Linked DNA regions of Saccharomyces cerevisiae S288C. Changing the gene in region 2 together with the main gene of any one other region gives a genetic interaction. Each region holds a gene or a part of one and is shown on either strand. Other genes may lie near its edges. The genes, in order: POG1, ISN1, YJR096W and YGR153W.

Region 1 (3,402 bases), on a different chromosome or scaffold from region 2:
TTCAGGCCCAAGTGAGAAATTCCAAGACGGCACTATTCCATGTGACAAATTCCCATCTGGTCAAGGTGTCATTTCTATTGACTGGATTGGCGAGGGTGGATGGTCCGGTGTGGAAAACACCGACACTTCCACTGGCGGTTCATGCAAGGAGGGGTCCTACTGTTCCTACTCCTGCCAACCAGGTATGTCTAAGACCCAATGGCCATCCGATCAACCATCTGACGGTAGATCTGTCGGGGGTTTGTTGTGTAAAAATGGTTATTTGTACCGTTCTAACACTGACGCGGATTACTTATGTGAATGGGGTGTCGAGGCTGCCTATGTTGTTTCTAAACTAAGCAAGGGTGTCGCCATTTGCAGAACCGACTACCCGGGCACTGAAAACATGGTTATCCCAACCTATGTTGAAGGGGGTAGCTCTTTGCCATTGACCGTTGTTGACCAAGATACTTACTTTACTTGGGAAGGCAAAAAGACATCTGCTCAATACTACGTTAATAACGCCGGCGTCTCAGTTGAAGATGGGTGTATCTGGGGTACTTCTGGATCTGGTATTGGTAACTGGGCACCATTAAACTTTGGTGCTGGCTCCACTGGTGGAGTGACATACTTATCATTGATTCCTAACCCAAACAACAGCGACGCATTGAACTACAACGTCAAGATAGTTGCTGCTGATGATTCATCCAATGTCATCGGTGAATGTGTTTACGAAAATGGTGAGTTCTCTGGCGGTGCTGACGGGTGTACCGTCTCTGTTACTTCCGGTAAAGCTCATTTCGTCTTATACAATTAAGCTACGTGACTACTACTTTTCCTTTTTTTTTTCTTTTTTCGAACACATCTCACCCCCTATACCTCACACAATCACTATGGTCCCCTTTTCTTTTTACCGATATTTATACTGTCCACCTTTTTCTTTTCGTTAATGGCCTCAATGTTTCTGTACCATTATCCAAGTGAACTTGTTAGACGACCAAATATAGCCAAGATTCATTACGATTATCTTTAACTAGCAAGTAGTATTCTTGGATAGAGAGATTTTCAAAGACGGAACAATTTTAAATAGATTTACATAAGAAAACACATACTGTCCGATACCCATAAGAAATTTAAGAACTCTTTTCATCTTCAGCTTTCCGGCCTCCTTTTACTGTAGCCTGTTCCTAGACAGCTAAAAATAGTACATATGCAGCTCTGCAATAGTCTCAAAGGGGATATTGTGTAGGTTTACGAAATCATCACATTTCCGAATCAGGACATGAAGGCACAACTTTCCGCACGTAGTGTTTTCAGCCCCCAGCGCCTGTCGGCGCGAAGAGGATCTGCGGAGATGAGCTTTGCCCCGCCATTACCCGTAAAATATTACTGTTTTGGGCAATTGTGGATCAAAAAGGGAAAATGCGGATGGTGAAAAAAATTTTTGGAAATTTACTGCTTCAGATGGGGGAACTTTGTAAGTTCTTCCTTTTTTTTCGTAGAGGTTGGAAAATTCAGAGTGCTAAGAAATTAAAAGGTATGCACTGCCTATTCTCATAAAAGCAAAAGTGCACAAAAATAATAAGGTGTGAAGCAATAGTAGAAAAGACACTGGGAACCCAAGGTATCTTATTTTAACAGATAAGTAAAACTAAGATCAAATCGCGTACTGATATCACTTAAGGTTCGCGTATTTTAAAGGCTACGCAGAAGAGGAAATAAATTGCGTGCAATCCCTGCGCTTAACTCATACAAAAAGGCGCAAAACATTTCAAGAGTCCCACGATTAATTGCAGAAATTGAAAAAAAATAAGTAAAGACGAAAATCAAAGTGGATGCCATATTATGAAGCAGGAGCCACATAGACAATCCGAAGAAAAAGAGAAGCCGAAAGGACCAATGGCTGTTGAACGAGAGCAGCATACCTCATTATCTTCTGGTACAACCGTGACAGCTAGTACAGGAGACGAGAGTACCAACAGTAGACCAGTGGAATCATCGCAAACAGAAAAGTCTCTATCGCTTCGAATAAGAATATTAAAACAACTTGGGTTTGACGATATTCAAGAACTAAATGCATGCGACACTGGCCTAGTGGAGCAATTTTTAAACGTACGATTGATAAACGACACAAAAGAACTAGAAAAGATACGCGAGTCAAATCTTGCGAAACTAAACCAGATTATTGATAAATGTATGGAAAGTGATAAAATAAGTGATTCGACATTAAACAAGATTCTTGATATGTCCATGAATAGAGATACAAATAATGATAACAACAATCATCTTACGATACCGTCTCCGATAACGACAAAGAAACGCAAGATAAACGCCTCCGAACTTGCAAGTCCACGAGGCCATAGAAGATATAGATCTGATATACCTACAGTGTCAGAAGTTGAGACAGGGGTCGGATACCCTCAAATACACCAGCAACCAGGCGCATATACTTTACCTATGCCTGCAAATCAGTGGATGAGCAACCCGTATATGCAACCTCCGCAACCACAAGTGCAACAGATAATGCCGCAGTATTTATATCCACCAGGGATGGGACCACAAGCTCAGCTTCCTACAATGAGCTCAAACTCGGAGTCCCAGACACCAGTGATGAGCTCACAGTTTCTTTCCTTGAACCAGCATGGCCTTTACCAACAAAATATAGGTGCTCATCCGGTAATGAGTATGGGCCCACAGGCAAATATATACGGGCAGCAGCACCAGCTGCAACCTGGTCAGGAACGAGACCAGTCAAGAAAAAGTTTTAGTCATAGAAGGTCACAAAGTGCCAATATTTCCATGGCAAATTTTAGGTCGCCCATGCGAAATCCCCAGCCGGCTTCGTCCCAAAGGCCCGTCAATTTTCTCATTCATACACCAAAACATCCTCCTCCCACATGACGTGCAGTAATTTTCATTTTTATCACCTAATTTCTAAAACTATATCCCTTCCTAACCTTCATTCGATGCATCCGTCCACCTTACTTCAGTTCAAAAAAAAATATATATCCATATATATGCTACAGTGTTATTATTACGATTTCTTTGCCTTTACTCCTTATCTCATTTCAATCATGAATAAACAGGATATTGATAATATATGCTGTCATTTTGGATTCAGTCTGCTTAACTGTCTTGTCCACCCCCGGTGTTCTTACCCGTCTGAGCGGTCGTAAGACGGAGGTAATAATTTTTCAGCATCCTGACCTCCCCCCCAAATCTGTGCCTTTCACCACATTTTTCTCGAGAAAATGTGTCTTGGCTCAGATGATGTCGTATGAGCTACTGGACTTTTTTTTGTTGGCCCTGATGAAAATAGTAATGGCGGTTACAGAACAGATAAACGGCGTCACCATCTTTTCCTAGATAAAGAAGCAATCTCTAGATAATGGGGTATATAAATATACATTGTAAAAACGGCAA
Region 2 (3,448 bases):
ATTGAGGAACAGAGCAAACTGCTATCTAAATCGTTTGAACAACTTGAAATGGCGCACGAAGCAAAGTTCAGTCATCTTGTCACGATATTCAACGAAACAATGATGAGTAATCTAGATCTGCTGAATAACTTTGCCAATCAATTGAAAGATCAATCTTTACGTATATTAGAAGAACAGAAACTGGAGAATGACAAATTTACTAACCGTCATTTATTGCATTTGGAAAGATTGGAAAAAGAAGTCAGTTTTCAAAGAAGAATTGTTTATGCGTCATTTTTCGCCTTCGTAGGGTTGATATCCTATCTATTAATAACGAGAGAGCTTTACTTTGAAGATTTCGAAGAGAGCAAAAATGGCGCTATTGAAAAGGCAGACATTGTTCAACAAGCAATCAGATGAATCCTAGAGGGCCCATAATCATAATTCTAAGCATAATTCATTCAAGATGAAAAAATCCACCGCCATATATGAGGTGTTTCTATAGGAAATATCTATATACTTTTATAGTCCTAATTTCATTTTACATAAACTGTTTTAATCAGTTTCTAATAATCTATGAAGATAATTCACTGTTTCTTGAGGGGATGCTATCCAGAGGGTACATCCAGCTAGCCTTGCCTTAAAATCATTTGCTGATCCCACCGGTGCAAACTGATCGCCTACGTGTAAGGTTTCAGAGGGTTGGATAGGAGATTCAGGGTTATAAAATTGTTGCAATGAACGAACACCAAGATCTTTCCCCCCAATATCACACCAGACATCACTACCACCATCAAAACAACTAAATTGAATTCTTCTAGATGGGGCAAAAGACTCTAAAGTGTTTTGAAGGGTTAAAACTATTTCCTCCAGTTGTTCCCTATCAAGCTTAACAGGAACTTGTCTTTTAGAAGCTTCATCGTACCGTTCGCCTGGGACGATACCCACTGCCCTGACTTTACGGATAATAGAAATCTCTGAAGGTAGGTTTAGTCTTTTTCTTAACCTGTTAAGAGTTCTCTCGGCAAAGTCCAAAGTCTTTTCCACGTCCTCGAGGGACCAAGCCTTCATTCTAGGCAATAGCCATTCCTCTTTGTCAATTTGTCTAAAGCCAAAGTTATCTTCCTCCGGGTCTTCATAGTAACGGAAAAGGTAACTCGACTCACCACCCATTATTGTTAAATTCTGCTTTTGAGAAACTGGTATATCAGTTGAATCATGTAATGCAACAATTAATCCTTTCAATCTGTTCTCATAGGTTCCAGCTTCATCATATCCGGCCGCAGTGACTATTCCCACATTGATACCGCACCGCAACAGCTTGAGAATATAAGGAATTACAGGATTAGTGTAAACCAGGGAGCCACCATCTTCATACAGCGTCACATCTCCATCAAAAGTCACTAATCTCAAAACCTTACCATTATGTAAGTTCTCCTGTTTCTTAAAGTGAAATATCTGTGCAGTATTCAGGATATGCCTGATATCATTAAAACTGGGTGCTACCATTCTACGCGCCGAAATGGCCCGTTGTGAGTCTTCCCATAGAAAAGCTTGTTCCAATGGAAGTTCCGTAAAGAATGTTCCAATTGATGGAACCAAAAGATTTAAACGCGATTGTCCTAATATATTCAGAGATTGAGAAGAGGCGCCATCTTCAATTTCGTCTTGGCTCATGTTTCTTGAGTCAAATTCTATTTTATCTTTAATCAGCCCTTCAATGTCTTTAAAGATATCAGCATACTGCGACCTTACACGTTGAGTTGTTGCTAAGTCGTCATTGTAGTCACCTTCATGAGAGACGGCATGTAGAACAAAAGGTGAGGCCAGTAGCCCCTTTACCCAATCTATAAACTCATCCTTGCGGTGGCTCTTCAAATGATATTCCACTCTATATCTTGAGGACATTGCTATTATAAGTTAACTCACGATCTTTTGTTACTTTCTTTGAATAGTTTTCTTTTCTTAGTACATTCCTTTACCTTTTAAATTTTGTTAATTTAAGGGCGGCCTGTCCCGCTAAACGTGGGAAGTGAAAGGACATGAAATATTATAGTGTAATACAGGAAGTATACAGAGAAATCTATAGAAACCTATCACTGCAGATTCGCACACTACACCCATGAAGTAACCACAGTAGTAAAAAAACATAACAAAAGTCGTAATATTTATCAAAACAAAAACATCATTTACGCCCAAAAGTGGAAGTCAATATTAAGAGCGAAATGAAACAATAGAAATAAAAATAGAATACAATCGGAAAGGAAAGAAATCAAAAGACGGTTAATCAATCTGATGTTAAATCGACCACTTCCGAGTTATCTTGAGCCGATGTGTTAAAGTCATTAGTTTGGGCCAGAGTTTTATTCATTATGGCGTGATTTGCCTGTGGTCTCCGTTTCATAAGGGTGGCGTATGGATTCTTCGGAATGTAGATAGAAACATTAGAATGCCTTCTCTTCCTAATTTTTCCATCATCCCCATGGCCGCTGGTGCTCACGTGTATATATGGAGGGAGATGTGCCGCCGATGTGGTCCTTGTTGGTAGTTCAGTTTCTGCTTCTGAATTTGGGTCCACAGGGGGGATTGGAGGCAAATCACCTTCGATTCCCAAAAGATTACGATCTTGAGCTGTGGTATTGTAATTAGGTCCGTAGGGGTTTCTCTGCGCTTCCGTTTGATTAGTCAAATTTTGTAGAACAGCCGGTAATAGTGGCGTTGATGGCCCTCTATTGTAGAATATTCTGCTGTCACCATTCGTCGCCGTAACGAAAGAATTAATACTGCTATTGTTCGTCGGTGTGTCATTTATATTTGTAGTAGCGCCTTGGTTCAAAAATGACCTCATTTGAAAAGCATCTTGATAATTATCTTGGTCCATAGTTGGAGAACCTTTCGGCGTTGATGTATGATTGGGGTTGTAGTCACTGGATCCTTCCGATTCTGAGGGAAATATATCTGCTCTTAATTGGTCATTACGGGGGTTCACGTGCGTTGGGAAGCTTTTACTAGCCGGAATAAAGGCTTCATCATCTGAGCTATCCAGAGATATTATTTCGGGTTCGTTGTGGTTTGAACCATTACGCAAATTAGTATCGAAGGCATTTCGGCTGTCATAATCTTGCTCTTGTTTGACAGTGCCTTGGTTCTCGTTTTTCACACTGTGATTTTGGTTAACAGTATCCGTTATAACGGCCGAACTATTATGAATCGGTTTCCATGAGCCATCAACAGATATCTCAACTTGCTCAACATCTTCATTGCAATTTTGAATAATATTATCTACAAATTCGGAAATCTTCAACTGGTCGAATTTTATAGGGTGTTGACAAATCGGACACTGCCATGTAGGGACTTGTGACTGAGAGTGAAGAAACCAGAGAGCATCAAAACATTGGATATGCTTACATTGGTCAGTCTTCGCCGGATACTTCATCCTTGTACAAGATATAGGACATTGCAAACTCAG
Region 3 (3,364 bases), on a different chromosome or scaffold from region 2:
ATTCGATAGTATTTTATAAGCATCTTGAATCTTATTGATTGTGACGTTGCTAACCGTATCATGTATGCTTTTAGAAAGTTTATCGGGGTGCGTATTTAGTAACCGATTCCTATATGCCTTTTTGATTTCATCTTGTGTTGCATCCGATGGAATTCTTAAAATTTCGTAGTGTGTTAACGAATTCACCAATGACATTTTCGCTAAATTTTCACACCAAAAGAAAGATTAAATTGGAGATAAATACAATACAAAGAGCGTGGTAAATTTCTTAGTTGATTGCGCTTATCTTTTGGCACCGATAGTGGTTTTTACAATGGTAAGACTAGTAACGTCACATCGAAGTCATCGCATCCATTTACAATTTTTCTGAAAATTTCCATCTCCAGTTACCCGCTCATAAATCTTCAAGAAAAGTCAATGATTTCCTTTTCTACCTCTAGCAGCTCCTTTAATCTTTGATTTAGATCGAAAGTCCTGAAAAAGCTACATGTAATATTAATACTTTGTGAAACGTAAACTAATTATATGTTCTATATACGTTATTCTACGGTTCGCATTTTCTTTTTATGGCGCGTCTGTGCATTCCCAATCGGTAGGCTCATAAGCATCAGGATGATCAAGAAATTTCATCTGTTCGTCTGACAGTTCAAAGTTGTAGGCTGCAAGGTTACCTTCTAACCTCTTCACAGTTTTAGTCTTCGGTAGTGGTAAATAACCGTGTTGTAAAGACCAACGAATCAAAACTTGACCTGGATTACGGTCCACCTCTTTGCAAACTTTTAATAAATCTGGATTAGTCATTTTGTAGCCGTGACACAATGGGGCAAAGGCTTCGACGACGAGACCTTTAGATTTACAGTAATCTGCTAATTCTTGTCTCATAATCCAAGGTGATATCTCGATTTGGTTGACCACTGGCTTGTGCTTCAGTTCTGGCCAGTTCAAAAGTTCATCAATGTGCTTTTTCCCATAGTTGGAAACCCCTATAGACTTAACCAATCCTTCATCAACCGCTTCTTGCATGGCGCGCCAAGTTTCCAACCTTAATTTAGAACCTTCCAGTGGCGAATGAATCAAAAGAAGATCGATGTATTGCAAGCCCGAGACTTCATTCAAACATTGCCGAATGGCAGCTTTAGCTCTTTTATATCCGTTTTGCGAATTCCATAATTTAGTAGTGTAGAAGATTTCCTCACGTTTATGGTTCCCTGGATCTTCGTTCAACCATTTAATGATACCATCGCCAACTTCCTTCTCATTACCATAAAGAACAGCAGTATCGAAATGACGGTAGCCGCACTTGACACCTTCATACACAATTTCGGCTGTTTGCGATCTTGGAATATCGTAGGTTCCCAAAGCAATGCTTGGGATTTTGAAGCCGTTTGAAAGTTTGTAAAACTTAGGAACCATGTTGTTGAGGTGAATTTTTTTTCTTCCTTCGGGCTAGGTATGCTAAGTTAATTACTAAAGTAAGATCAGTTGCTTATGCTCTTATATATTGGAGGTTGCGACAAGGGATGAAAGAAAGAGACACCTCCCCTCATATCGACACGACGGAATATGTATGATAACTACTTCATTGTTCTTTTCAGCACATTATTACTATTTACGAAAAAAGGGAGTAGGGAAAAATGGCGCGCTTATGGAGCCTCAAATAAGGACAAAAAAGTCAAGTAATGAATATCAAATTGAAATGAGTATGCTTACATAGATTTATTTGGTTTGTTTTCATTTTGTTTTTGTTTCTTATGTTGCTGCTTTATTTTGTGTAGGTAATAAGGAAGAATAGGGCGATTAATAATTGATCTTCTAGCCTATTTCTATTTTTTCTTTATTTCATTTTGTAGTCCCATTGTTCATCATCTACTTTAATGGCTTTGGCTTTGGTGTGTCATTCTTCTTGAATATACCCAAATTTTCTAAATGCTCCCTTACATATTCATAAACGGTAAAGGTGACAGCCTGACCTGGAGCCACCCTCATCACTCTTGGGGTAATACCCTTGTACAAAGCTCTAAAACCTTCTTCTTTCAGTAGTTGAGCACCAATGGTTATGATTTTCTTCATACCGGACTGTTTTTCCAATGAGATGGACTTATCCTTTTGCAGCCTTGTCTTTATAGTATCCAATGGAGCGTTGGAAAACGGCCCAATAGCACCCGAAATCAAACCTATGCAAGAAGTTTCCCATGAAGGTAGGACATCCATCTGATGGTAATTCTGCAAAAACTCCTTCAGTTTAGAATAAACTGTGAAGTTAGCACCCTGATTAGTTGCTTGCCTTGCCGCAGTTAAGGAAACGCCTCTATATAAGGCAGAAACACCTTCTTCTTTGACAATAGTGTAGGCTGCATGAATGGCGTTGTTATATTTAGGACCAGCATTTGGCTCACTCGGAGTTAAATGCTGAGCTTGTAACCTAATCTTTACAACTTCCATCGGGTTCACGACAAGAACAGCTTCGGTGATACCAGCCCCAACACCAGCAACAAAAGTATTACCGGTAGACACAATTCCTGATTCCTTGTTAACCAATAAGGTTCTATAGAATTCATAAGACGAGAAACGGATTGCCATCTTAGGTATAATACCGATGACCACAGCACCTAGACCTTTATACAGAGCCAAGAAACCTTCTTTTTGATAAATGGTACGCCCAGTTTTAATAAATCCTGGGGGTTTAACATGTTCAATACCAGCTACCCGTCTGTATATTTGCATTCTCACCTTAATTGTATCTAAAGGATGACAACACAATGCTTCAAATAAACCTGCTGTGCCGCCAGCCATGAGATTGATGGCTGGATGGGAAGCCTTCTTTTTTTGAGACATTTTTCTTTCTTCTTCTTTGTTATGTTATCTTACGGCTAAAACTAATATAAACTTCTTTCTTGAATCAAGTATTCTTAGTTTTAGTAATAGGGAAGATGCCAAGTTTCTTTCAATGACTCAATTGATAATATCTTCCAAAATGCTTTGCACTTTACTTATGAAGCAGATAGAAAACAAAGGGGGAAACGCCAAGAACAAGAAGAACTACAACAAGAAAGTTAACAAAACGAGAACAAGTAGTAAGTGAACTATATATTTATACATAAGATATATGCAAAATGTGACATTACGGTTTGTAAAAGGTAGTAACTCCGTGGCGACAAGAATCTCAAAGGATTGGTTAAAAGATAGCACCTCGAGCAGTAGTACTACCGTATATCATCATTGCCTCCATCATCACACTTTATTATGACAATGAGGACTAATCATTAACACCGACCCATCAAATTTGGGCCCTTCGTCACAATTAAGGTCCGTTTGCGGTTTACCGGGACTAGGCTGGTACTGTCATACGATGTGGTATCTGGTA
Region 4 (2,974 bases), on a different chromosome or scaffold from region 2:
AATGGGTTCATCCGAAGATTAATCTTGGTGTCTATAAAGTCGGATTAGCAGAAAACGGAAAGATTTACGAAACTGAAGTAAAAACACTGTTTGAAAACTTGCAGAAGATGGAATGTGTACTAAAAGAAAATTATAAGCGCTTAGAGGAGCAATTCAGTGGTAACAAACAGAAAATCTTGGCTAAATATTTTGTTTTAGGACAGAGGTTAACTGAAGCGGATATCAGATTGTATCCATCAATAATTAGATTTGACGTCGTGTACGTGCAGCACTTCAAATGCAATTTGAAAACTATAAGGGATGGTTTCCCGTACCTTCATTTGTGGTTGATTAATCTATACTGGAATTACGCAGAGTTTAGATTTACTACAGATTTTAATCATATTAAGCTCTTTTACATCAGGATGGAAGTAAGTAGGAACAAGATCAATCAGTTTGGTATAGTGCCATTAGGCCCAAAGCCTGACATTTCTAGATTATGAAAACTTCTAATATTTTCTTACACACACATATATTTATATGCATGGCTATACTTCAAAAGAGGTTGTCACTTCCATTTCCATGTAGGTAAAACTCGTGTATAGACGGAACACAGACTTCCCTAGTTTTATTGACTTCATAGTCTCTGCACCATTCAATTATGTCTCTGTAAAAGAGACTCTTCTTTATATCGCCCTTTTCTATATTCTCCATCTCCAGTTCTTTGAAGCATTTTGCTTTTCTCGATTTATGACAACCACACGGTTTTACACTCTCCTCTCCATGTTCTACCATTTCATGCCTCCAGTCAAAAAATGGTTGACTGTATTCCCTACTTGAATCCATACTTGATTCAACAAGGTAGTTTCTCGAATTCTCAGGTAGTACTGCCACCCTCCTTAAACGTTTCTCTCTTTGTCTTGCTTCCTTTCTTTGTTCTATTTTTGGCGGAATGGTAAATTTCACAGGATTCTTGGATCCATTCTCATTTTCATTCAAGGCATTTAAGTCCAAGGAAAATAACCGTATGCTCACGTTGGACCCTTCAAACGTGAAACTATCTTCACTCAATATACTTCCTACACCGCATTGTTCCTCGTTACTACTTGAATCCTGTATATCTGAGAGAGAGGTAAAAAATGAGTAGGTATCTCTTTCCCCCTCACATTCGTAAGTGCCGACTTCTTTATTCAAACAGGCCTTTCCCATTTCTCAAAGACCTCTTTTCGTAACCTATTTAGTAATGATGAAAAGTATTAAACAGTATTTTCAAGATAAGAATTTTATTATTTTGTACCATTTACGATACACATAAACCCCAGAAAAAAACAACTTTATGGGAAAAGGCGAATAGTACTCATAATATACAAGGTAAAAGCAGGCGTATCTCAGTCATACAGTTCAATAGAGAAAGGCATTTTTGGAATATCATACATTTTATCTAGCAAGTGGAAACAGACTGTATATTCCCAAGAATCATCGCCTTTTTATCACAACGTCAGCCTCACAACTAATTCGCGTCAAAGCGCATTCATCCTCGACATTCTCAAACGCGAAATATCGTCGAAAAAGGTTAAAAAGAAAAGAGAGAAGGACAGAAAAAGAAAAAAGTAAAGTAGAGCTCGATCTCGAAAAAAAGAACCATTGCGTTCGTTCTTAACTACGCCAAGAAGTTTTTGAAATTTCATCCTCTCCACTGAACAATAATACTATTATTTAGTAACGATATAGAACATTTACATACAACGTTCTAATATTTTGGCTTCTATCATCGCTTAGAAATATTTGGCTAGGAAACATTAGGACTAATGAGAGACTATAAATTAGTAGTATTGGGTGCTGGTGGTGTCGGTAAATCCTGCTTAACCGTGCAGTTTGTACAGGGAGTTTATTTGGATACGTATGATCCAACGATCGAAGATTCTTACAGGAAAACCATCGAGATCGATAACAAGGTATTCGACCTGGAAATTTTAGATACAGCGGGTATAGCACAATTTACTGCAATGAGAGAATTATACATAAAGTCAGGAATGGGGTTCCTGTTGGTATATTCAGTAACAGATCGGCAATCTTTGGAAGAATTAATGGAGCTAAGAGAACAGGTCCTTAGGATCAAAGATTCCGATCGCGTTCCAATGGTTCTAATAGGTAACAAGGCTGATCTAATCAATGAAAGGGTAATAAGTGTGGAAGAAGGTATAGAGGTAAGCAGTAAATGGGGTAGAGTTCCCTTTTATGAAACAAGCGCTTTGTTGAGGAGCAATGTGGATGAAGTGTTCGTTGATTTAGTTAGGCAAATCATTCGGAATGAAATGGAAAGTGTTGCAGTTAAAGACGCAAGAAATCAAAGTCAACAATTTAGCAAAATCGAGTCTCCATCAACCAGGCTCCCTAGTTCTGCGAAACAGGATACGAAACAATCAAACAATAAGCAATCATCAAAAGGTTTATATAACAAATCTTCACAAGGACAAGCTAAAGTTAAACAATCTACTCCGGTTAATGAAAAGCACAAACCGTCACATGCCGTTCCGAAATCTGGTTCTAGCAACAGGACAGGAATTAGCGCTACTTCACAACAAAAGAAAAAGAAGAAAAACGCTTCCACTTGCACTATTCTATAGTCACTTAATTTTATTATAAATGAATCAAGATATCAGATAAAAAGACTTTACTTGAAATAGTTTTATTATAGTTCTAAAAGGTTTAGTTTAAAGTATTAGCATACGTTGTATAAGTTTTTAAAGAAATCAATTAATAATGTTTGAAAATAAATTTAAACCCAAAAAAAATGAAATGTTAAAAATATGGACGCAACCGGAATCGAACCGATGACCTCTTCCTTGCAAGGGAAGCGCGCTACCAACTGCGCCATGTGCCCGCAATCTATGGGATTTTACGGTAGATGCTGCGTTACGTATAAAAAATATTAAATGAACAGATCCACACTCTCGTAACTAAAGCTCACACTGTAGTTTCTTATAGTTTATGT

What was found.
Region 1: mutations in ISN1 (region 2) and POG1 together harm fitness more than expected from each alone (negative genetic interaction), as found in Saccharomyces cerevisiae (one large-scale study listed by BioGRID).
Region 3: mutations in ISN1 (region 2) and YJR096W together harm fitness more than expected from each alone (negative genetic interaction), as found in Saccharomyces cerevisiae (one large-scale study listed by BioGRID).
Region 4: mutations in ISN1 (region 2) and YGR153W together harm fitness more than expected from each alone (negative genetic interaction), as found in Saccharomyces cerevisiae (one large-scale study listed by BioGRID).

Annotation. Positions count from the first base shown.
Region 1 is NC_001141.2:128,786-132,187, forward strand, and holds POG1 (Pog1p), read left to right. Parts: upstream 1-1,824; coding exon 1,825-2,880; downstream 2,881-3,402. Other genes in the region: putative glucosidase SIM1, read left to right, coding at 1-796. UniProt on the Saccharomyces cerevisiae protein: Transcriptional activator which promotes cell cycle recovery with CLN2, after pheromone induced G1 arrest, probably inhibiting the ability of STE20 to activate the pheromone response pathway.
Region 2 is NC_001147.6:626,094-629,541, forward strand, and holds ISN1 (IMP 5'-nucleotidase), read right to left. Parts: upstream 1,888-3,448; coding exon 535-1,887; downstream 1-534. Other genes in the region: SLP1 (Slp1p), read left to right, coding at 1-399; SUMO ligase NFI1, read right to left, coding at 2,267-3,448. UniProt on the Saccharomyces cerevisiae protein: IMP-specific 5'-nucleotidase involved in IMP (inosine 5'-phosphate) degradation.
Region 3 is NC_001142.9:609,244-612,607, reverse strand, and holds YJR096W (aldo-keto reductase superfamily protein), read right to left. Parts: upstream 1,414-3,364; coding exon 565-1,413; downstream 1-564. Other genes in the region: JJJ3 (Jjj3p), read right to left, coding at 1-195; SFC1 (Sfc1p), read right to left, coding at 1,867-2,835.
Region 4 is NC_001139.9:794,306-797,279, reverse strand, and holds YGR153W (uncharacterized protein), read right to left. Parts: upstream 1,189-2,974; coding exon 535-1,188; downstream 1-534. Other genes in the region: GTO1 (omega-class glutathione transferase), read left to right, coding at 1-482; Ras family GTPase RSR1, read left to right, coding at 1,788-2,606.